Oreochromis niloticus: one gene and its partner. The protein of the gene in region 1 interacts with the protein of each later gene in a pairwise test. Links are inferred from orthologs where the notes say so. Each region holds a gene or a part of one and is shown on either strand. Other genes may lie near its edges. The genes, in order: zmym2 and foxp1b.

Region 1 (12,533 bases):
TTTAATATTACTCAAACCATCAGAATAAAAATTAAATAAATAAGAAATATTAAGTTAGATAAATTCAAGTGTTAGTAGTACTTAAAATAAAGAAAATTTCAAATAGGAAACTAAAAAAGGCTTCTGCCCATAAGTTGAAGTAAAGCTTCAAATTAAATAAAAAAGATTTTATTTTCCATTCCAAAATAAGTTTCCAAAGTTTACAGATGATTCAGTTCATGAATTCATGATTGCAGTGAACATCCTCTGGAGTAAGGCTTTCTCTTATCCGTGAGATGATGTTCCCAGCTGCTGATAACCATGCTAAAGATGACTCTGTCATGACTTTAGCCATTCGAAAGGTGCATGGGCCTCTTTACAGGACAAACTCATCTATACACCTGTGCTTAATACTAGTAAAACAGAACAAAATAGAATTAGAAAAGACCGTTACTAATTACAAATTTGGTTATATATTTTATATAGAAATATATAAAAACTAGGAGGCAGTTTAGCTACTCCTGCTTAATGGTTTGATATTGCATTTGACTCATTAGTTAACAAAACTAAAAAGGTGTTTGCTTAGCAAGATTCATCCTGAGAGGTTTTCAACAGGCAAGCTAACATAAACATTACTTTACAAACATAAATATTACTATTCAGACATTAACATAAACAAGGTATCAATGCAGCGCGATGACTTAACTCTCTAAAACTGGCCCATTCAGAGCTGACGTCACAGCTCTAGGGTGCCGGCGTTTTAAATGCTTGTGCGCTGCATTAATGCTGTTGTGGAAGGAAAGCTCTGCTTTCCACAATCTGCATTCAACTCTGTTTTCTTTGAAATGCTTTGACTTTTAAAAAAAATAAAATAAAATCTGTTTCCATTTTCTTCCATCCTCCTGTTTTGTGGGTCACACTACATTCTTCTTCATTAGTTCTGACTCCAGTCTCGACAGACAATAGAGGTGATACCGCCCCCATATGTTCCTGTAGTGTATTGCAGTTACAAAAACGCATTTACGTGGTATTAGTATATGACGCATTGACAATAAAAGTCAGCGATTATGCTGACGAATCACTGCAGCCCTACTTGCTATCTGGTTAGCTGGCATTACTCAAGAGGCTGTTCGGCAGTGTAAATTTGTAGAATTCCAATTATAGCGTTTGGGCATGTATGTCACGAATGGAACCGGGTCACCAGTTCTTATTGATGATGTGACTACTGATAGAAGTAACAGTGTACAATGCTATAGCCTGCTCCATTTGAACCAAATGCTAATCTCTGTAATAAGATTTGCATTTGGTTGAATTCATGTGCAGAAAAAGTAGGAAAGGGAAGAGGACTGCTGGGTGTTTAAAGCTTTCTGATATCCATTTGTAGTGAACGTAGGAACCCCTGGTACTGGGTATTAGCTGGCTACACCAGAAGCCCCCCTCCCCCAAAGATTGGCTGCTGCTTCCAGAGGCCCAATTAGCAGACGAGTCAATGAGTTAAACAATTGATCAAATGCTGCAAAACTGATTGGACAAAGAATCACAATAAAGAAGTACGATGACACAAAATATACAAGAAGGATCCAAGAGCTGCATAAGACAAAGATGTACAATTTTCTCAAATGAGTTAGTCCTCTGGCTTTTACCCGTCTCAGCCGGCTGTTAACATATTGAAGATGAAAATTATTTGAGGAAGGCCAAAATAACCGAAGCTACTGAAGGTGGCTGTAGTTTAGGCCCAGAAAAGCTTATGATCAATAAGAAGCCCACTAATAGATGCACAAATGCAAAGGTGACAAAGGCTGGAAGACAATGTGATTTCTGACCAAGAACATATGACAAGGGTCACCAAACCAGTGACCAGACTCAAGAACAGATCGATGAAATTAAGATCAACCTGTACTAGAATGATGGCAGATAAAAGTAGCGAGAAGCCACGGAACAGACGACAATCTGAAGTGAAAAATGGAGGAGGCAGTGTAATGTAAGAGCATGCACGGCTTTCAGTAGCAATGGGTGACCAGTCTTCCCTGAAAATGTGACAGAACACAGAAGCAGCCAGATGACGTTTACTGGGATACAGTGCTGCTCAGATTCAGCCAAATTCAGTAAAGTTGATGGATAGTGCTTCACAGTAACAATCTCCAATGACCCAAGACATACTAAGAAAACTGGAGTTATTCATGTGGAATATTCTGTAATAACCAATTCATTCACCTGATGTCAACCCAATCAAGCTGTACTTCACTTGCTGTAGACAAAACTAAAGGCAGAAAGCCCTATGAACAAACAGGAACTCAATACAGCTGCAGCAAAGGCCATGACAGAGGAGGAAACTCCTTGTTTGGTGATGGTTCCAGATTTCAGGTGGTTTCTCCCTGCAAAGGATTCTCAAAGTATCAAACATGAAACCCATCTCTGGGATTATGTTCAATTTTCCACTTACATTTGAGCCAGAGAAAATGTGTCAGGCTTCTGTCACATTGTAAGGAAAGACTAGTCACCCATTGCTTTTGGGAGCCATGCATGCTCATACAATACCCTGCCTCTACCACATTTTACGTTGACAACACAGCTCTATGAAAGTTGAATTATTAAATTTGGTCAAATATTAAGGGACTCAACAGTATATTGGTGCTGAAATTAAAAATGTTTGACCTGATTTTCAAATAAAGTTTTTTAACTATCGTTTTCAATTCTCTTAGCACCATATGCAGCACGTGAGACACATGGTCGTGATGTGGAGTCAAGCAGTGCGCTCACATTAAGTTTCCAACTAATTCAGGAAATCGGCTGCAGGATAATTAACAAAGACTGACCCCATCCCATGTCTTTCCAAGATTTTTAAGCAGATTAGCAGAAAAAAAAAACAAAAACAAATTATTTCGCCAAATTTCTTCATAAAAACTAAAAAGTGACAAAATATATTCCCGCTACAAATTCTCACAGTCTGCTCTGATGCTTTCAAATGCCCCGTTTTGTCCAGCCAGGCTGCCATTTTGCTTTACAAATGACTAAAGTGATCTCATGCTTATTTAAATTGTACTTCTTCATTGCAAGTGTTTTCCAAGCAGAAAAAAGACGAAGAAAAAAATTTCAATATGCAAAAACGGGCTGCATATCTGTCCTATACTTTCTATCAAGGTACAAAGACTCTCTGATAACTGTATGCTTGGTAGAGAAATATAGGAGTTCACATTGTTAAAAGCCACTGCTGCAAACTCAGCAGAGTCATTATATCAGAGCTGTATATGTTTGCTGCTAATAAAGAGCTGCTCCACTGTAGAGCACTAGTGCCGAATAAGGAACACTTACTTGCTGTGACCATGTGACAGGAAGTACAAGGCAAAACAGAATGACATTCAAGATCAATACAATATGCTTGACTGTTCAAAAGAAGGATTGAATTCCAAGTCACTGACTTACTATAATTAGGTTCTTCCTTTAGAAGCTATAACCCAAGCTAACCTCTACAAACACAACTTGTGCTAAGGTAATAACATATGTCCGTAACCATGGTGTTAACTGGAGTCCAAATACTAGCCAGGAGACCCAAAGGCACCCATTCCCCATTTGCAAGACCTCCCAAAAGCAAAGCAAAGCTGTGCTGCAGATAGATGCTTCATGCTTTTCTGGCCTGATATTCCACCAACAGAGGAATCTATGTGCAAAGCAACTCAATAGTGCTCTGAGGGGGGGAAAAAATAGCCTGGTCTAGACTCAGTTCAGACTGCAATGCAGAGCTACGAGACAGCCTGCATTCACGTGGATGAGATGAAAACGAGGACCCAGCATTAATGAGCTCTGACATGCAACCTTGACTCCCAACGTCAACACCAGGTGGACGGAGAGGTGGGATGGCGCTGTGGCCGAGCCTGCCTCCATGCAACACACACACACCTCAACAAGACTAGCAGTTTAAATCAACGCCTGCGCCACATCACCACCTCACAGAGGTGCTCATCTACCTTTCCAACTGCATCAGTTTGCGCATGAAGCCACAGAAGTTGACATTTTTTTCCCCCCTCTCTCCCCCCAGCAGGTCACAAGGTGGAGATGTGAAAGCTGTTTGCGCCAGTATTTGTGCAGACAACAGCCGATTAATAAAATATTCAAATTAAACGCCTGGGATTATTATATAAGACTTATGTCACTGAGAAGTGATGCGTAATGCGCAGCCATCAGAGCATCCCCAAGCCAGCTGATGGGCTAAAAAAAAATCAAAAAAAAAAAAACCCCAAAATCAAATGGCCCATTCCGGTTACCTGAACGCAAAACTAAACCCTGCTATACATAGCTGAGGAGACCTCCTGTGAATTATTAGAAAACACCCAATGAAGGACAGGCTGTACGAAGCCTTCGGGGGCCGCCGGAGTCCCACTGGTCGTGCCCTTGATTATCAACACCGCTTGGAAGGACCACCACAGCACCAAATCCGGCCCATGCCCCCGGCTACAACGGTGACTATCACTCGACCCCGATCTAGCTTCCATTTCTCTTCCCCGGCATTGATATTTAACAAACTTGGCAATAAAAAGCAGGTCCAAAACTTTGATCAGTGAGAATAAACGGAACCAGCACTACCTGAGCTGCGCAGCTCTTCCATAAATAACCCGGGAAAAAGGAGAGGCTAGACTGGCTTCCAAGTTGGGGTCCAGGAGAAACGTGGTTCAGGGTGTTCCGTTCCGCTCCCTCCCCTGCCGCAAACAGCCATTGGATTAGCGGCAGATCGAGGGGAGGAGAGCAGACACAGACTGCGCCATTGTTAAAATACCAACAAAAATCATCGCAATTTACTCGCATAAAACAGATTAAAATAGAAGCAAATGTTTCTCAAGATAGGCTAATGCAGTGTGCCACTGACAAGCACAGTCCCCAACACCTAAAAAAAAAAGGGAAAAAAAACGTGTTTCCCCCCTTCCACAACCCCTGTTCTTGTCCAGATTATCTGCTCTATAGGCGCACACATGTCCGTGCCAGCGAAACAGACCCGGGTTTCGAATAAAAAACCCGATTTCTGCGATACCTGTGACGATGGGGGTTTTAATTGGAAAGTTACCCTACGCGGAGTCCACCCTGGCGCAATCACTGGCAAAATATACTCGGCAACCGCAAGGGGCGCCCTACTCTCATATATCACATGAACTGGCTTCATTTGTGTCATGCGGTGGTAAACAACAAGACCCAGAGAAATTCCCTTACCGTGTTTTAAGTGAGCATCCTGTGAGTTGCCTAAACTGTAACTAGGTATGAACCCATTACTATAACAACCGGAGCAATTCTGTCCCCACCCCCCACCACACACACACCTCCCTCCTCCCCAGCGGAAAACAGCACTGCCTGCCGTCCGCCATTAGCCAACTGAACAATACTGAAGACTAGAGGCGGCAGTAGCTACAGCACGCAGAGACGGAGAGGACCAAATCTGTTCAAATTAACTGTTTATTCATCCCTTAATGAGTCTTCACGCCCCAGTGTGAGTACCGAGAAACTCCCTGGGCATCCGGCTAACCCCCCCGCACAAGTTCCCGAAACTTTGGCCAATTAGGCGTAAAAGTAGAATACAAAAAACGGCTGTGAAATTCGCTTACCGGAGTAGAGCTCAAAACGGTGTAGCGCCACTTTTGTGCCTTGACATTAATCCGCGGAAGCGCGTGCGCACAAGTTTATATCCAAGATCATCTACTGAGCAGAGCACTCACTACGCGTCATCGGCACGTTCACTCACGTACAAAAACAGGATTTCTGAGAACTCATTTATGGTTTGTGTCTACCTGCAACATATCTATTCACTGTTCTCGGTGAGAGGGGATTCAGAGGAGTGGTTTTATTAAGTCAGTAATTGTTACTCTGTGGACTCATGATAAATGTGAGGGAGGGTATACAGCCAAATGTTGGCTATTATAATGCTGTTGTTTTTTGTTTGTTTTTTCATCTTTACTAAAGAATGTCCTTCCACCATAGTTAATTGTGATGTAGCAATAGGCTGTTTGGGGCATCCTTCAATTTTGAACAGAATATGTAAGCTGTTATGAAATGTAAACCTCAGGATGTTAACATACTTGAGGAAAGCAGTTTAAAACGGCCAAACGATTTTTTGTTTGGCACATTTTCAACACTGAAAATGGGCATAAACTGAAACTACAAGTAAACAATTGCTGGTAAAACCTCAAATAAGAGTATAAATTCCATAATCACCCCTTAGTTTTTGCCCCGCTGTTAACCTTCACAGCTAGCCGTTTATGTAATTATAAATCTTATATTTAATCGGCCTGAGTCTGTAATTTTCACTATTAACAGTTATTACGTATTAAGTTTTATAGTGATGTTAGTCTCCGATATCTAAAACACAGTTGAGCAGAAATTAACGGCTGAAATAAAAATGATACACCGCGAGCTCAAACTTCCTAAAAAAACCCCAAAACAACTACTTCCTCTTATTTTCATTGTAACCGGAAGTAAATACGGAGTGAGAGCTCTTTTAGGATTCACCCTCTTTTCTTTTCCTCCTGCGCAGGCGCAGGAGGTCCAATCAGTGGCTGCATTGGAAGCAATTAAAAATCCATTAAGATGCTCGCACCTTATCCTCGAAGGATATCATGTATCCCAGGTCAAGTGTGGCCAGTTCTGCTAGAAATGCACCTTAGTTATTCTTGATTTTTTTTTTTTTCGGGGGTCCCCTTTCTCAAAGCTTAAACAAGCCGCATTGAAGTACACAGCTCGGATCCAATCAGGAGCAAGGATCCGGGTTGAGAGAGTTCATGTTCTCAGCTGTGTCGGCTCAACATGGGTTTCCTCTCATAATTTCACCCAGAGACTCACCAGAAACCAAACGGCGGCGGGAAATTAATGACGCCCACCAGAGAGTGTTAGAAAAATGCCGCACACACCTTTACAAAGCAAAATTAAGCCCAAATCAAATGACACTACTTTAAGTAACTACTGATTATAGTAGGCAGATGTGCAAATTATTACATGTAAAGGTGGGTAATCTATAGTTTAGTAGTAATTTTGTTATTACTTTTTAAAAAAAAATCGGGGTGGCTCAAAGGTGGAATGAGCCGGTGATCACGTTTGTTAAATATGGCGGATCAGGTGCGTTCAAATGTCACACTGAAACGTGCAGATCAGATTCACTAAAGGGTCGGCTGCCCAAAGAGATCAAAGAGAAAAATTACAAAAGGACCGCCACCTCCTTACCCTCCTTACGCGCAGGCTATCTCTGAACTCACGAGATGAGGGGTAGAAATGGATGGAAGATACACGGATTTATTTCTAAGTCAGTTTGATGAGGCTGAGTGTCTGGTTGCCAGATCCTCTGTCTGTGCGCCGCTGCACAAAATGTCGGAGATTTCAGTTTCTCACAGGCGCAAATCACACTGAAATGATCTCTTTTTAAATACGATCCTCGATAAAGATCGAAGATGATGTGCCACACAGGCTTTGTGAACTCACAGTGTTTATGTAATCAGCCTCTCTGTAACTCACGCGGTTTTAATAAACAATTGTGCGTTTTTTTGTTGTTGTTTTTTTTTGCCCTGAGTTACACTGACCAACCAGCAGTTTATTACCACTAACACACAGAGGAAATGACGCTGACAACTTTGTTAGTGGTGTGATTGGAAACCATCGGTTTGGAAGTTAAACTTTGTTGTACAGTGTGAATACATGCTGCATTTTAGCTGTAGGATTTTATGTCTCTACTGCTCCACTACTTATGAACACATTTCGTAAAAACTGCATTAATTAACAACAACTGGTAGCAAACTCCCTCCTTAAAACATCTTTATTTTAAAAAGTGCAAATTTAAAAAAAAGCTCCATGTCTTTTTCCAGGGCTCTTGGCTTGAAATCTCTTTCATAAGCGTGCAGTGTTGTTGGTCCTTCCTTCTCATATGGATTCACTCAAATAGCTTCCCAGAGAAGTAAAATCCATCATGCTGCTGTGATACATGCTGCTGGTGGTTTGGCATGGTCTTGCTTAAAGATGCAAGACACTGTTTGAAACAGATGTTGGATATTTTGCTTTAAAGCATGTTCATATGATAGTGATGATCATGGGTGTACAAGTTATATGTGCAGTAATAAACCTCCTTGATTAGTGATCTTGGGTCCAGCCTGTGGTATTAGTGGATTTTTGTTTAAATGTTATTTTTTCCCCCCAGTTTGCACTGTGGGTTGGGGATGAACTGTGGTCAATGATGATCCTTTTCACAAGTGTAGCTGAGCCCCTGCTGTGATTTCTGCAACAGAATTAAGTCTGTTTTTAAACTGCTGCTCGAAAGCCTGCCTAGTTTTCCAAGAATTCTCTGACTGAGCAGTGAACCCCTCGCCATCATGACCTCTGAAACACTCAGCTTGACTAGTATGCTCTGTTTATACATGCCATCACCATCGATAACAGCGTATGTCCCCCCCTCGGCCAACGCGGATGCAGCCTGTGACTCTCTCCACTCTGTGGTCAGCAGACTGCAAACACAATCTCCGAGAGCCCTTCTCATAATATCAGGGGACTTCAATCATGCCTCACTGGACTCCACACTGCCCACCTTCACCCAGTATGTGACCTGCCCAACCAGAGACAATAAAACACTGGACTTACTGTATGCCAATGCTGAAGAGGCATACAGTTCATCACCTCTCCCTCCCCTAGGCAGATCTGATCACAACCTGGTGCACCTTGTCCCTGTGTATGAGCCCTTAGTGCGCAGGGAGCCACCAGCCACCCGCACAGTGCAGAGATGGTCGGAGGAGAGCGAGGAGGCTCTTAAGGATTGTTTTGAGTCGACTGTGTGGGAGGTGATCTGTGACGACCACGGTGAGGACATCGACAGCCTTACTACATGCATTACTGACTATATTAATTTCTGTGTGGATAACACCGTACCTACCAGGACTGTACGGTGTTTCTCCAACAACAAACCCTGGATTACTTCAGAAATTAAAGCTGTCCTCAAGCAGAAGAGGAGGGCCTTCAAATCCAGAGACAAAGAGGAGTTGAAAAGGGTGCAGAGAGAGCTTAGGGGACTGATAAGGAATGGGAAGGACAGCTACAGGCAGAAGATGGAGAACCAGCTTCAGCAAAACAATGTTGGTGAAGTCTGGAGAGGCCTCAGAACCATCTCAGGCCACAAACATCAGAACTCTCTGCCTGGGAGGGATGTGAGGTGGGCAAATGAACTGAATCATTTCTTCAACAGATTTGATTCAGCCATGAGGCAGTCTCCAACATCGGCTGCAGACTCACCCACCCCCACTGCTGCTGTTCCACCTCTGACACCTCAGACACTTCACACCTCCTCTATTCACCCTGCTCACTCCTCCCCACCCCCAACAACAGCATCCAATACACACTCAACACAAGGCTCCAGCCTGTCTCTCTCAACCACCCAGGTTCGGAGGGAACTGAGGAGGATTAAAGCCAAGAAGGCAGCGGGTCCAGATGGCATCAGCTCGAGGGTCGTCAGGTCCTGCGCGGACCAACTGTGTGGTGTGATGGAGCACCTCTTCAACCTGAGCCTGAGGCTGGGAAGAGTCCCACAGCTCTGGAAAACTTCCTGTGTTGTTCCAGTGCCAAAGACTTCACGCCCCAAGGACCTCAACAGCTACAGGCCGGTGGCTCTGACATCCCACCTGATGAAGACCCTGGAGCGGCTGGTCCTGGCTCAGCTTCGGCGCCTTGTGAGCTCATCACTGGACCCACTTCAGTTTGCCTACCAGCCTGGCATTGGAGCGGATGATGCCATCATTCACCTCCTACATCGTTCCCTCGCTCACCTGGAGACCGCTGGGAGCACTGTGAGAATCACGTTCTTTGATTTCTCCAGTGCCTTCAACACTATTCTTCCCTCGGTTCTGAAGGACAAGCTGGAGAACTCTGGAGTGGACCATCACCTCACTACCTGGATTTTGGACTACCTCACCGACCGACCACAGTATGTGAGGACTCAGGGCTGTGTGTCGGACAGGGTCGTCTGCAGTACGGGGGCCCCACAGGGAACGGTTCTGGCTCCGTTCCTCTTCACCATCTACACTGCAGACTTCTCCCACAACTCCACCCAGTGCTTCCTGCAGAAGTTCTCTGATGACTCTGCAATAGTCGGCCTCATCACTGATGGGGACGACAAGGAGTACAGAGGACTGACTCAAGACTTTGTGGACTGGTGCCAGCTGAACTACCTCCAGATCAACGCCAGTAAAACCAAGGAGCTGGTGGTAGACTTCCGCAGGCACAAACATCCTCCACTGCAACCACTGAACATCCAAGGTATGGACATTGAGGCTGTGGACAGCTACAGGTACCTTGGTGTTCATCTGAACAACAAACTGGACTGGACTCATAACTCAGACGCCCTCTACAGGAAAGGGCAGAGCAGGCTGTACCTGCTTCGGAGACTCAGGTCGTTTGGAGTGGAGGGCCCACTCCTGAAGACCTTCTATGACTCTGTGGTGGCCTCAGCCATCTTTTATGGTGTGGTCTGCTGGGGGGGCAGCATCTCTGCTGGGGACAGGAAGAGACTGAACAGGCTGATCCGAAGGGCCAGCTCTGTTCTAGGATGCCCTCTGGACCCAGTGGAGGTGGTGAGTGACAGGAGAATGGTGGCTAAGCTGTCATCCCTGTTGGACAACATCTCCCACCCCATGCATGAGACTGTGACAGCACTGAGCAGCTCCTTCAGTGGGAGACTGCGGCACCCACGGTGTGGGACGGAGAGATTTCGCAGGTCTTTCCTCCCCACTGCTGTCAGACTCTACAATAAAGACTTTTGCAGCTGATCAAACACACAAACCCACACATGTGCAATAAGACTGCTATATGTGCAATTCTTCTTCTGACGAAGTTGTGTTTGTATTTTCCTACTCAGTTGTATATAGTATTTGTATTTCTATTTTATTCTATTGTATATATTATTCTATTCTATTTTATTCTATTGTATATATTATTCTATTCTATTTTAAAGCTTCTATTGTATATATTATTCTATTCTATTTTATTCTATTGTATATATTATTCTATTCTATTTTATTCTATTGTATATAGTATTTTATTTTATTTTATTGTATTTTATTGCATTCCAGTGTTTTCTAATTTCTGCTACATAACTTTGCACTTTTGCTGTAACAAAACAAATTTCCCACCTGTGGGACTAATAAAGGCCATCTTATCTTATCTTATCTTATCATTTACTCTGTGAGATGCCTGTTATTGTTTAGCGACTTTCCAATCTTATCATCCCCACCAGAACATTAAAGTATTTAACCATATAAACTTAAATACATCTGAGCTACTGTGTTGTACCGGTTTTTAAAACACATGATTATTAAAAAAAAAAAAAAAAAAAAAACAACACACACACACACACAAAAATCAAATGGTCCATTCCGGTTGGACCTGAATGGACCATTCAGGACCATTCAGGTAACTGTTGGCACGGTGATTAGTACTGTTGCTACATGCAGTTAGTGGGGATGGGTTAATTGGCTAATCTGAATTGCCCATAGGTGTGAATGTGAGAGTGAATGTCTGTCTGTACAGTGGCTTCCAAAAGTATTTGGCCCCCTTGAACTTTTCCACATTTTGTCACATTACAGCCACAAACATGAATCAATGTTATTGGAATTCCACGTGAAAGACCAATACAAAGTGGTGTACACGTGAGAAGTGGAACGAAAATCATACATGATTCCAAACATTTTTTTACAAATAAATAACTGAAAAGTGGGGTGTGCGTAATTATTCAGCCCCCTGAGTCAATACTTTGTAGAACCACCTTTTGCTGCAATTACAGCTGCCAGTCTTTTAGGGCATGTTTCTACCAGCTTTGCACATCTAGAGACTGAAATCCTTGCCCATTCTTCTTTGCAAAACAGCTCCAGCTCAGTCAGATTAGATGGACAGCGTTTGTGAACAGCAGTTTTCAGATCTTGCCACAGATTCTCGATTGGATTTAGATCTGGACTTTGACTGGGCCATTCTAACACATGGATATGTTTTGTTTTAAACCATTCCATTGTTGCCCTGGCTTTATGTTTAGGGTCGTTGTCCTGCTGGAAGGTGAACCTCCGCCCCAGTCTCAAGTCCTTTGCAGACTCCAACAGGTTTTCTTCCAAGATTGCCCTGTATTTGGCTCCATCCACTTTCCCATCATCTCTGACCAGCTTCCCTGTCCCTGCTGAAGAGAAGCACCCCCAGAGCATGATGCTGCCACCACCATATTTGACAGTGGGGATGGTGTGTTCAGAGTGATGTGCAGTGTTAGTTTTCTGCTGCACATAGTGTTTTGCATTTTGGCCAAAAAGTTCCATTTTGGTCTCATCTGACCAGAGCACCTTCTTCCACATGTTTGCTGTGTCCCCCACATGGCTTGTGGCAAACTGCAAATGGGACTTCTTATGGTTTTCTGTTAACAATGGCTTTCTTCTTGCCACTCTTCCATAAAGGCCAACTTTGTACAGTGCACGACTAATAGTTGTCCTATGGACAGATTCCCCCACCTGAGCTGTAGATCTCTGCAGCTCGTCCAGAGTCACCATGGGCCTCTTGGCTGCATTTCTGAT
Region 2 (12,522 bases), on another chromosome or scaffold:
TTTGCCTTTTTTTATTACAATTTTTGGATTATTACTTTCCACATTATATTGAGTCACATTTACGTTAGATAAATATCACCATTCCTACACCAGTGAAACTGGCTGACTTTTTAACACCTTGCATCACATGAGCTCTGGAATTACAACACAGCTGACCCTTTTATCTCAACAGTAACCATTAGGGATGCACCCAATCACCTTTTTTTCCATTATATCATGTCGTAATTTAACACCATTGGTGGTTAGGTGTAAATAAGATGCATTCCTCACTGTGAGAAACAGAGTGGGACTGTATAAGACAACATTGGTCTCGACTCAGACACTGCTTTCCAAACCTGGTAAAATAAAATGTAACAAATAAATACATCAATTTTACTGACTTTGTATTTTTATGCATAAAGTAGTAAATAAAAATGGGACAAAAACAAATACAAAGTTTAGAAATCGTGTTCATCTTATTCATCTAATTCATTTGCACTAGTTTCCTCTCACCTCAGTGTAAGCAGCTGTTATTTATGGTCATGTATAGTAGTGTAGTTTCACCTTTCCTCCACTCAGTCTGAGTGCACTTTATTTTACTGTTCCTCACACACACACACGCACACATGTTTACAGGGAGTGGAGAGAGGATACGAATGAAGTGAAAAATATTAAAAGAGCTGGCAACAACACTTAATGTTACCACAAGTGCAGTAAACACAAAACATAAAAACAATGAGAGTGAGCAAGAGAAAGAAAGCATCACTGCAGTTTTTCAGTTTCGTCAACTCAGTTGACCACAGTTTGCAGGTTAAGCGATGAAATCTATTGACATAACTAGCATGAAAACCCCCCAAACTGCTGAGATTTTCCTGTTAGCTTCTTCCATGCTCCTTTAGCTCTCTGCTTGCACCTGATTCACTGCTGCTGATATATGGCATAGTAACTTAGATCACATTGCTGTCATTGATGCTTGAGTCAGGTTTCGATGTCAGGATTTTCCTGATATTCTATCCAAACATTAAATCAGTTCATCTGTGATTACTGTTTTATCTTTTTTTCTGTAGTGACAAGCAAAGCAACAAACGTTACGGTCTACATCACTTCACACTGTAAGGAAAAAATACTAATCTGTGAGACGAATCACACAGAGAGAGGCTTCAAATCATAAGTCAGTGCCTACATAAACTATGGAAGTTTTAACAGAGTTGAGAACCACTTACAGTTCTGATGTTACAAACTGTCACGGGTGCCTTTAGATTATTCTCAGAGCTGGCTTCACTTCCTGTCCATGTTGTCCTGGAATGACAAACAGAACAGCATGTTACTATCTAGGGTTATGCCAACATGCCACAACCTGGGGGTCAGTAAACAACCTCTATACACTCAAAACACACACATATGTGGTACATCTTTAGGTAGTGTATAAAACAAATATGCTATTATGTTGTTATTACACTGGCAAATATTAATAATAAACATAAGATAAGATAAGATAACCTTTATTAGTCCCACACGTGGGAAATTTGTTTTATAACATATTTGTATCATAATGTTACACTGATGGTGAGGTCACAGTTACTGAGTAATGTGTGAGTAAATCTGTAAGCAAAACAAACCGGGATGTTGCAGAAATACGGTTCATTGACACAAAAAAGCATGATTAAATTCAGCTGAAAATGTGAGTTAATCTGTGTGAATGATTATCAATACATTTTGGAGAGAAATCCCTAAAAAATGATATTATCAGCCCAACCGTGCCACATCATAAACACACACACACAGACTGGACAGCTGATAGAAACAGGTGCTGAGGTTCAGCCTGGCAGCTGAGCACAGCTTGCAGCATATGTCTGAGCCCCTCATGTCTGGACCAAAATGTTTGTAGCTTACCTGCATCCTTCCCCAAACCTTCTGTGGTGGTGTACTACAGAGGAAATTCTGATTTTTAAGCTACTGCATTGTAAGAGGCTAACTCGACAGGAAAACATGGACTCGTAGGAATAAGAGCACAATGATCATATTAAACTGTTTGGATATTCTTATAAGTCTACCAGCAACAATTCATAACACTGTCTATTCATTTTTTTATAACTAGCTAAATTTGGAATATTTTGATTATTTACTAAAAAGATGTGGATGGGTTCTGCTGCACTTCTAAAAACATCAGTGTCCCTTCTCTTAAACTGTTTGTTCCTGTTTGCTTTCTCTTATGTGATTAAAATAAATACATTTTATTTTGAAATCCAATGTAAAACGGTCATCTCCAACTTCCTGAATTAAACAAGTGGTTTTTTTTTAAAACACCATAGATGATAAAGGAAATATTCTTATATATTTAAACAGCTCAAGCATAATTTATTTCCCAGCAATAAACAGGCTGTGCTCCAATGTTGCACTGTATTCCTGAAACACAACACCAGCAGTAAATTCATTTTGTAACTCAAGTTAATTGATTGTAATTGCATGCTCTCTCTCCTCCCGTGCAGGCAGATGACATTTTTTTGTCAGCATCCCTCCCTTTATTAAGGACAGATGACAGTAGAAGACAGTAATTAATGGCTGCCCAAGTTAATAGCCATCCTGAGCGTTTTGGCAGTCTCCATAGAGACCGAGGAGCTGCGCAGAGCTCACCTGAAGCCGTCCACTCTCTGACCAATCGCCTTTGCTGTCACAGAGAACAGTCTGCCAGGGGCCGCGCCACAGGGGCCGGGACACACTAACCTTTACCCTGGAAATATTGTTCTGCTTCCCTTTGTTATCCATTCATGTAACACAGCACTAATGAGCATGCTACACTCATATTCATATTGCCGGTACTCTTCTCCCCCTTTTGTGGCGCGTGAATCAAACATGCAAAAATCACACAACAAATTCATTTACCAGAAAATTCCCTTTTATTCATCTGTCACTTGTCTTGGTTTGTGGAAAAAAAAAAAAAGGTTTCGAGCAACTGGTTTTGAGGGCGTCTTGTAATCTGCAATCAAATGAGGGGTGAAGCAGGCAAATAAATCTGAAGGAAACAATATAGTGAAAGCAGAATCTTATTCCCACACTGGACCCGAAAATAACTCTCCTTATCATTCAGCTGCGAGCTCGGGTGCACAGTCAGTTTACAGCCCCTCTGTACCCAGCACAGGGTATTTCAATGTGTGTTCACAAATACTGAGCCGTCAGATGAAAGAGAGGGCCGCTCCACTCAGGGATGGGAGTCCTCGCACTGAATGCATGAGTGACTGATTACTTTCTTACCAGTTGAACCTCGGCTCTCTACAAAGAAGAGCCTTACCCCAAGCCTGAAGAGGCCAAACTAGTAACAAGGGCTTTCCAAATAATACAAAATCACAGATTGGTGTGTTAAGCATCTTGCGTCATTACAATGCATACAGCTGCTCTTCCTCAAATTTCAATCTATTTTTTTTAAACCCCCCCCCCCTCGCCAACTCAATTTATTCAGTTTCAGTACGGAGCAGGAAAGTACAGTCTTTCTCGTTTCTAGACGGAGGCGTGGGGGACACACTTAGGTCGTTCCCATCAGAAACAGCAGAAGGTTGAATGTCTGTATGTAATAGCCGTGTCAAACAGCAGGCCCTGGAAAAGTTGCAAAGAAAGTTCATCCTGAGTTTTTTTTTTTTTTTTGGAAACCTGGGTCAGCATTTGCGAAGGTCCATTTCTGCATAAGTGAGCACACAAACCCCAGTGCCTGTTCAAATAGTCTGCAGCTCTCTCTCAGGCAGCTCATGACAACAGCCCAGCAGCAGCACTGTTTGATCTCCAATGTTTTCCTTAATCTGGGTTGTCAAGGTTCGCTTGTTGGAGGCTGTTTACTTTACTTCTCCTACAAAAAAGTGTTTTTTCCCCTCAGACAATGACTAATCCAAAGACCAAGAAGGAGGGAGCACTGCCAGCAATAGTTGTTAAAGCTGCAGTTTCCCTTTAGTAAAATTTCAGATAGTTTTAGTTGCCAGCTGCAATCTTACTGTATGAAACATTAGGGCAAGACTTATTTATATTTATTTACTTTAGTTATTAAAAAAAACTATAATAATTTTTGGCACTATTTTAATTCTGCCTAATATTAAAAATTATCACAGACTGAGTGCATCAGATAATTTGTTTATTAGTTGTCCACTGTTGTATTTGTAAATAGTGCTTATTTGCTTGTAGTACCCCTGTTACAAAATACACATTAAAATAATTTTAAAAAATGTTTTAACGTGTTTGCAATAGGTGAGCTTAAATGCTACAGTGCTGTACAACATTCCTTTGCACAAATAATAATGTTATTGTCTATTAGTTGAAAAAAAAGTTTAATTACACTATTGCAACAACTTGATCTGCAATTATTAAATTAACAAACAAAATAATCTCCATTTTCCGTACAGTGATCGCAGCTCCAGCCAATTTACATTTATGAAAATGTTCAACTGTAACCCACAGCACATCTTATTCAACACAACCATTGTCTCACATCCTGTGCAAACCACTATAAAAGTTGAAAAATATAACGTTCACCACTTTTAAAGTGCTACTTTACGTTACCACAGCCATAATTAGGAATTAACTCCGTAATTCCTTTGTGTTAATGAAACGTTACGAAATGAATATCCGCTTTTACTTGTGTTGGGTACACAGCCTTACCGCTGAGCAGGGAAGCCACACCGAAAGAACACGCTTGAATAACGCAACTGATGGACAGCCAAATAAAAGTAATGATAACTTTCAAAGTTGAGGGCTTGCTACACTTCTGACTTCCTCCGGTCTTTCTGAGTTTGGAGCACAGCTAACACGTGGGGGAAAAGCTCCATCCCTGGTTTCACTCCAAAGAAATCACGGCACTCAAAACTTCCCCTTCACCGTGTAAAGTTGAACAAAAAAAACAACTTTTACAGCGCATCCTTAATAGGTAGCGTGGTAATTACGGTCTGTTAGCGGCCATTGCTAAGCAGCACGTTATAAACATGTAGCATTCATTTTGAAAATACTTTTTTGGACGAGAGGTGCATTTCCCCCCGGGGTCTCACGAGTAGCCTCAACTAAGTTAGAAACCCAACTTTTCCCAAAAAAGAAAAAGAACAAAAAAGCAGAGGATAAATATAGAGTCGTAAAGATATTCTTGTAAAAGCCGCTCGGTACAGCTGCCTTAAAACGGCGCTACCTATCGCCCTACATTATAATAATACAGGTGTTTATTTATTTCGCTATTTGAAACAATTCGGCAAACAGCAAGACAAAACCGAGGCAAACTCGGTGCGAGTATCCGAGTGCAGCTGCAGCAGCCGCAGCAGGTATCTAGACACGAAACAGCAAAGCTAACGTTAACATTAGAATAGTAGTGAAACTTACCAGAACGGAAAAAAAACGCTTTACAGCAGCTAACAGGGCGCACGCGGAGGGTACCGATTCGCTAGTATGAGATAACGAAGCCGTGCACGCGAGCTTGTGTACCGAGAATGCGTGCAACAACAAATCACACAGTAAACAGTGAATATTACTCCGCCCGGGAGGTGGAGGGGGGGAACTAACTAAGTAACTTAAAAGATAATCTTACCGAGGGCGTCGAAATAAAGCGAAATGTGGAGTTTCACACTCGCTGCCTGCCAGTCTGTCTCGCAGGAAAAGGCACGAGCTCCTTGCTTAATGTTCTTATTAGATTTTAACACGCTGTGAAAAGAAGGAGGAAAAAAAAAGGAAGAATCGCTGATTTGGATGTTGTTGTTTTGATCTTCCAAATCCGTGACGTCATATCCACCTGAGGTAAACAACGTTCATTGCATTGCAGATCCTAACATCATAGTCACAAGTACATTTCAGTAGCACTTAGTAGCACTTAGTAGGTCCTTTCTATGGGGAAATGTAATGATATGCATTAGTTTTAGCTGAAAATGTGACAGGAGAGAGGGGGCTGTCAGAAAAGCTAAAATCTCTAAGCTCACTAATTATAACTGAGGCTGAATGAACTTCTGTTATTTCAGAAAAACTCTCCTGTCTTTTTTTTTAATTATTATTTTACTATTATATTTTCTGATCTATGGTTCATCATAACTCTTCCAAAGCCTCACTTAATAAAAAAGACAGAAATGCTTTGACATACTCATCAAAGATGTTTTAATCTCCAGCTTTGAGGAGTTTTAAGCATTGGGGGTGGGGGGTGGGGTAGATATAATGACAGTATAGATAACCAAAGTCCAGGTTCTTGTCAGTATGGGCTGCTTATCATTTTCTAACATGTAAGCTAGCTCCTCTGGATATTTTAAAGGGAATGTCAGCACACCTACATTTCAACAAAGTTGTTTCACTGTTTGGAGTAACTGTTCTGGTTTAAAAGTTTTGCTCACTCTTACACAAAAGCAATTATACAAATGCAACCACAACTCAAATGCCCCGGAGAGGAGACTGGGATGGTTTAAGTGTCCAGTTAACGCTGAGTGTAAGGCAGCATCAATGTGCCCTCAGAAAATACTCTGAATTTCTTTGATTCATTCCTCTTTTTTGGCCTTGATCAATATTAGAGAAGCACAGCTCACTTCACTGTAAAGGACATTGCATTTATCATGGCTGCATCAGAGCAGAGTGCTGCTGATAGACCTCTGATGAGAGACTGTTTCTTAGTAGAGAGCGCCACCCTCTGGTAGCACACTGTCATGAGACGAATTACTCTAATATTTCCACTGAACAAACACTCGCATTTTGAGGTTACTGATATTTGACTTCGTATAATCAACCCCCCTAACAAAACATACACAATTTCATATCCAAAAGCTTCTCTCATATTCATAATCCATTAATATATGCTTTTTTTGTTTTGTTACTTAAGTCTTGGCATAAACTTTGTAAGTTTGAAGCATCCCATTGCACTGGTATTTAAAATAATGAAGCACTTAAACCTTTAATATACTATTACTAATGAAAATAAAACTTTTTATATATGTTTTTTGCCTGGTAAGTTTTCCTGTGATTCACCAACTGGAGTTTGGTGTCTGTCACTGAGCGTAATACATATACTGCTCATTGACTTGGCACCAAACACTGATTATTCCACTTAACACAAATAAAAAAACACTATGTCATGGTCCTAATAATATTTCTGCGCCGCCTGCAGGAGGCTGCTGTCTACAGTTCTGCACCTAAATGTCAGATTTCTTATTTCTTATGTTACTGAGAGACTGTCAGGCAACCTTCTGCCCTACTGCAGTAACCTCTGACACCATCAGCAGTGCACCAAATGTCACAGTGAGCTGACATTGTCCGTGTTACTTCATAGTGACAGTAACAAACAGGAAAATACAGCATTACCAACTACTTCCTGTTGTCTCTTGAAATGCTTCACATAAACTAGGTCTGTAAAGGCTTTAAACATTTAACAAGAAAAACAAACAGGTTTCATTTTTAAAATAAAAGAGTTAAAGAGGGTATAATAAGATCCCAATTATGTGTTTAGTTTTTATTAAATAAACTGCATCAGTAAAGTGTAGAAGTGCAGGTTATAGAAAATAGATGATGTTCTAAAAATGCTTTGTTTACAGTGTATGTATTATAGCACGTAGCTCATGGGTGTTGTCTAAATTTACAGCCCTTCAAGGCCAGAGCACAAGACAGCTGTCCTTTGAGCAATTTATTTCAGTTCATTTCAATTCAATTTCATTTGTATAAAACCAAATCATGAAGGCAGAGACCCTATAATAATAGAGAGAAAACCCCAACAATCAGATGACCCCTATGAGCAAGCAATTGGAAGAATCTCTTTTAAACAGGAAAAAAACAACAGCAGAACTAGGCTCAGGGAAGGCCAACCATCTCCCATGACGGTTGGGAATGAGGGGAAGAAAGCAGGACTAACTACATGATTTATCAAAAAGGAAAGCTTTAAGCCTAATCTTAAAAGTAGAGAGGGTGTCTCCTGAATCCAAACTAGGAGTTGCCGATAGCAGGAGTTATGTGTTTTGCTGTAATGTCGGGACCTTCCTCTAAAACTAAGTGTTCACAACTGAAGAAATAAAAACAATTACATGCAGGCAAATGGCCAAAACAAAGATAAGATTTCACACAAGAGAGTATACGTCTCTGTGGTGCGCTACCTGTTGTAGCCTATAAGCATTCACAGACAGATCAGTCACTTTGGGGCCTAAAATGAAGAGCCTCCTGTGAGCCTACACTGCATTTCAGTTCAAATACTAAACTGTCAGACTCACACTTTGACACCCAAAACATGCACATCTGGCTTTTGAATGTGTCTGCACTCTCGTTGTGATGCAACTACATGATCACCATAAAATTCCTATAGGACTTACACTTTACTCTGAGTTGTATTTTCTACAGCTTTTCATTTGATTAACATAAGGTTGTAAACATGATTGTCTGCTGTAATTAAAGATAAAAATCCAAATGTCTATAAAGTCTTATGGCGTTAATCTAACACACAATCCCAGCTTTCTATTCCTTCACGGGCTTGATCTGCATGTCAATACTGGATCTATGAGCTCAGCGGAGCCCAGCAGCCATGTGCCTGTGTCGGAATTTATTATCCTGTTTTGTTGGTGTCATGCTGGTGATGTGTCGCGCGGATTAAGGCCCCGACTTGATGGAGTGCAGTTACAAATTAATTGAGGATCACTATCAGTTACGTAACAGCCTCTCTACACATACGCGTGCACACAACAAAGTAATTAGCTTTCTGTTAATTAGGTAATTAAGCAAATGAATAGGAGCTCCTCTTGATTTCAAACGGGAGGGGCGGATGGCTTTCATACGGTGTTTTTCCCCTTGCTGCCATGGGCTGTAGCATTGAAAGTGTGATGAAAGGAGGAGGACTTGAGGAGGAAGTGTACAGATAATGACCTATAAAGAACTGTTAAATGAATAAAAGGAAGAAGAAGAAGCAGGGGTTAGGTTACCAAAGACTGCCTCTGAAAATATAAATGGCAAGACTGCACCGGCCTTATGTGTTTCCAAATTTTGTGAGCCAAAAAGTTAGTCAGTAAGATAATGCTCTGTTAAAATGGCATATATATACACATTACATTACTACACATACATATATATATATATATATATATATATATATATATATATATACATATATATATATACATATATATATATATATATATATATATATATGTATATATATATATATATATATATATATATATATATATATATATATACATACATATATATATATATATATATATGAAATGTAGTTTTTGGGACATTTTTTGCATCCTTTACTCAAGGAAAGCTGTAGTAGGGTTAGTTGATTAATGTTTTATAGCTTATAGATAAGTTCCTATGATGCTGCTAAAACATCCGTCTAACGGTGGTCTGTGATTTGAGGACACTGGCAGTGGATCTTTTGAGTCCTGTGGGATGTGCTGGTGTCCATCTATAGATCAGGCTTGTTGTTGGGCATTCTGTGGATGCTAAATCATATTAGGATATGGGAAGTTTGGACGTTGTAATGTGCATTTCCAGTTTATCTTGCTGGGGGAGGCTGCTGCTGTAGTGAGGTCTACAGAGCTAAGCATTTTTACCATCAGCATGTTTTTTGTTTTAAATCAGACATAATGACCAGTGACTGGATCTGTCTGAGAAACCCAGGTACACACTCATACATCTACAACAGGGAGTTCTCTTGGCTTTACCTACTAAGCTAAAGCCCTGTCAGAATCGTAGGTGTTCAGTTTGGTTCAGCTTTCAGCTTTGAACCAGATGTCAGTAAAACATACAGTTCTGCTTTATCCACACCTGGAGAAAGTTGTCTGTGCAATTATTGTCTCAAGGCTTGACTATTGCAATGCCATTCCCTCTGGTATAAATAGGAAGTTGCTCTCCATTTCAGAATCCAGCAGCTCGGCTTTTTACTAGAATTAGCAGACAGCATCACGTTATCCCCATCCTGACCTTTTCCTGTTGGTTTTCGGTACGATTTGGAAACGACTTTAGGATTTTACTGATTACGTTTAAAGTGAAGTCTACGTGCAAAACGAGCCAGCTCAAATCCTTCGATCCTCAGGTGCAAGTTGAGACTTAAAACTCTAAAGATTAAAATTCTTTTGCTATCAGGGCTCCTTCACTTTGGGATGACCTTCTGAGGAGATAAAGTTACCAACCAGCAACCAGCTTGAAAATCACATGTTAAAACACATTTTTCTAGGCATGTATTTCTTTGATTCCATTACACGTGATGCCTTTTTTCCTTCGAGCTGTTTAGCCATCTTGCTTTCTGTTTAAATCTGACCTTTGAGTATTCATTTTCTGCCTGTCTATCAAAGCACTTTGTATTTTTTTTTACGGTGCTGTATTAACAATGCATAGTTTTCTTTACTTTATTGGGCACCATATTTTACAAAGTGAAGATGATGATGCATTAAGTAAGACTATATACAAGTGACTGAAAACATAAACACATCAGGAAACTGTTTACTGAAACCACACATTATGAGAGGGAAGTTTCCCCCCAGACTTCCCTTTAAAACGCTTCCTCTTTTTGCAAGTGTGAGTCACCGCCTGCTGGTCATTTAAAAGAATGCAGATTTAAGGCACTGCACAGGCTTCAGTTTTAACCATTCATAGTTATGTGTCGTCTTGACACATCTTACCATGTTGTACTTGAACTCTATTTAAATTCTATTTAAACTGTTAAAGCTAACCTAAACAATGTTGCATTTGGAATATACATCCACCCTTTAAGAAATGTTCATATACAGTCCATATTAATTGGAAACATATCACACGTCTTTGCCAAACACATGCAATCATGAACCCACAAAAGCTTCCTTTCAGCTCTTTTAATGCCAGTGTGATAACAAAGACATTTGGTGTCACTGTTACCAGAGGAACTGCTAACAAGCAGTCTTCTTGTCAGTAATTCACATTTTAGCAGGAAAATAACAACACTTATTATACACTCTCCAGTCACTTTCTTAGGTATACTAGTTTAACTCTTTAATGCAAATGTCTAATGAGCCAATCACATGGCATCAACTCAATGCATTTAACCATGTTGGCATGGTCAAGATCCAAAACGAGAAGAAAGGTGAGTTGAGTGATTTTGAACAAAGCATGGTTGTTGGTGCCAGACGGGCTGATCCGAGAATTACTGATCGACTGGGGTTTTCCAGTTTGTGGGTATTTTGATACGAAGGCAACAGTAGGGCAAAATAATTTGTTATAGACCAAGGTATGCAGAAAAGCATCTCTGATTATATAAAACATTGTACCCTAAAACAGATGGGCTGCAGCAGCCGAAGAGCAGACGATGTAACAGTCCTGTCAGGAAACTGAGCCTACAGTTTACACAAGCTCACCAAAATTGGACAATAGCAGACTGGAAAAATATTGCATGATCTGATGAGTCTCAATTTCTGCTGTGCCATGTGCACGTTTACAATTTGATGTAAACGGCGTGAGAGCATGGATCCATCCTGCCTTGTATAACTAATTCAGGTTTGTGGTGGTGGTGTAACGGTGTGTGTGTGTGTGTGTGGGGGGGGGGAAATCTTCTTGGCACACTTTAGGGACCTTAGTACCAACTGAGCATTGTTGCTGACCATGTCCACCCCTTTATGTCCACACTGTGCCCATGGCCAGCTACAAACAACTGTATAAACCATTTCAACTGGCTGCTCATAACAGGCACGATCAGTAGGAAAACAGAAAGCATGTAACTTAACTAAATCTAGGAATGGATCTGTGCACGGCCAGGAGCTGCACAAGGGATATTTACATCATATCTTGGGTATTAGACATGTTCAGAGCCCCAAAGTCCTAATTTCACAGTCACTCGCTCCAGCTTCTTGTACAGTGCTCACTAAAGACAGGAGAAATGTTGCAGTGTTTATTGCCAAAACATTTCATACATGTATTTAGACTGAGGGGTCAGTGAACTTACAAGGAACTTTGCAGCAACTACTTGTGTTGTGAATGAGGTCATTTTAGATGGGTTGAGCCTTTCTGGTCTCTGAGAAAGTTTACTGAAAGCTACACGAGGTATGTTATACAGATTATATGTGGTAATGAGAATATCCTCTGCATCCTTTAGCCTCTTGTGATTTTGAGGCCTGCATCTTATTTCCAAACAGCAACAGCAAGTTGTTCTCTTCAGACGAAACTTTCACATCTAATTTAATCCCAGTATTAATGCTATCAGTAGCAAACTTGCTTCATGGAAGGTCCAAAAATTCATGACTGAAAAGCTGAGGTTATCAGTCATGTAATCACCATCAGTGAGTATTTAAAATCAGGTCTTACGATTACAAGGTGTGTCAGGACTAAAATCAATGCGCTGCCAGAATGAATTAGCACAAAGTGGCTGAGGATATGCAGAAGCTTTTAATACACCGAGACATTCCCCATGAAATAACATTAATTTCCTTTAACGGGCCTGTTATTGATGTTTGTATTGTGCAAAATGAAACGCCAGTGATAAGCACTTCATTTCTGGCTCCATTTTATTTACTTTGCCCGTATCGCTGCAAAATATGTTTACAAAGGACAAATTCTCCTCTCGTATCCATCAACCCGTCCAAAGTTGAACTATAA

Evidence for each region.
Region 2: the proteins of zmym2 (region 1) and foxp1b come close enough for resonance energy transfer, tested with the Homo sapiens proteins (2 studies listed by BioGRID). The link is inferred for Oreochromis niloticus from reciprocal best matches to the Homo sapiens genes ZMYM2 and FOXP1.

What each region holds. Positions count from the first base shown.
Region 1 is NC_031987.2:27,442,457-27,454,989, reverse strand, and holds the start of zmym2 (zinc finger MYM-type protein 2), read right to left. Parts: upstream 5,034-12,533; 5' UTR 4,780-5,033; coding exon 4,561-4,779; intron 1-4,560. UniProt on the Homo sapiens protein: Involved in the negative regulation of transcription.
Region 2 is NC_031970.2:32,337,231-32,349,752, forward strand, and holds the start of foxp1b (forkhead box protein P1-B), read right to left. Parts: upstream 5,471-12,522; 5' UTR 5,326-5,470; intron 4,934-5,325; exon of another isoform or gene 4,621-4,933; intron 1,279-4,620; 5' UTR 1,203-1,278; intron 1-1,202. UniProt on the Homo sapiens protein: Transcriptional repressor. Can act with CTBP1 to synergistically repress transcription but CTPBP1 is not essential. Plays an important role in the specification and differentiation of lung epithelium.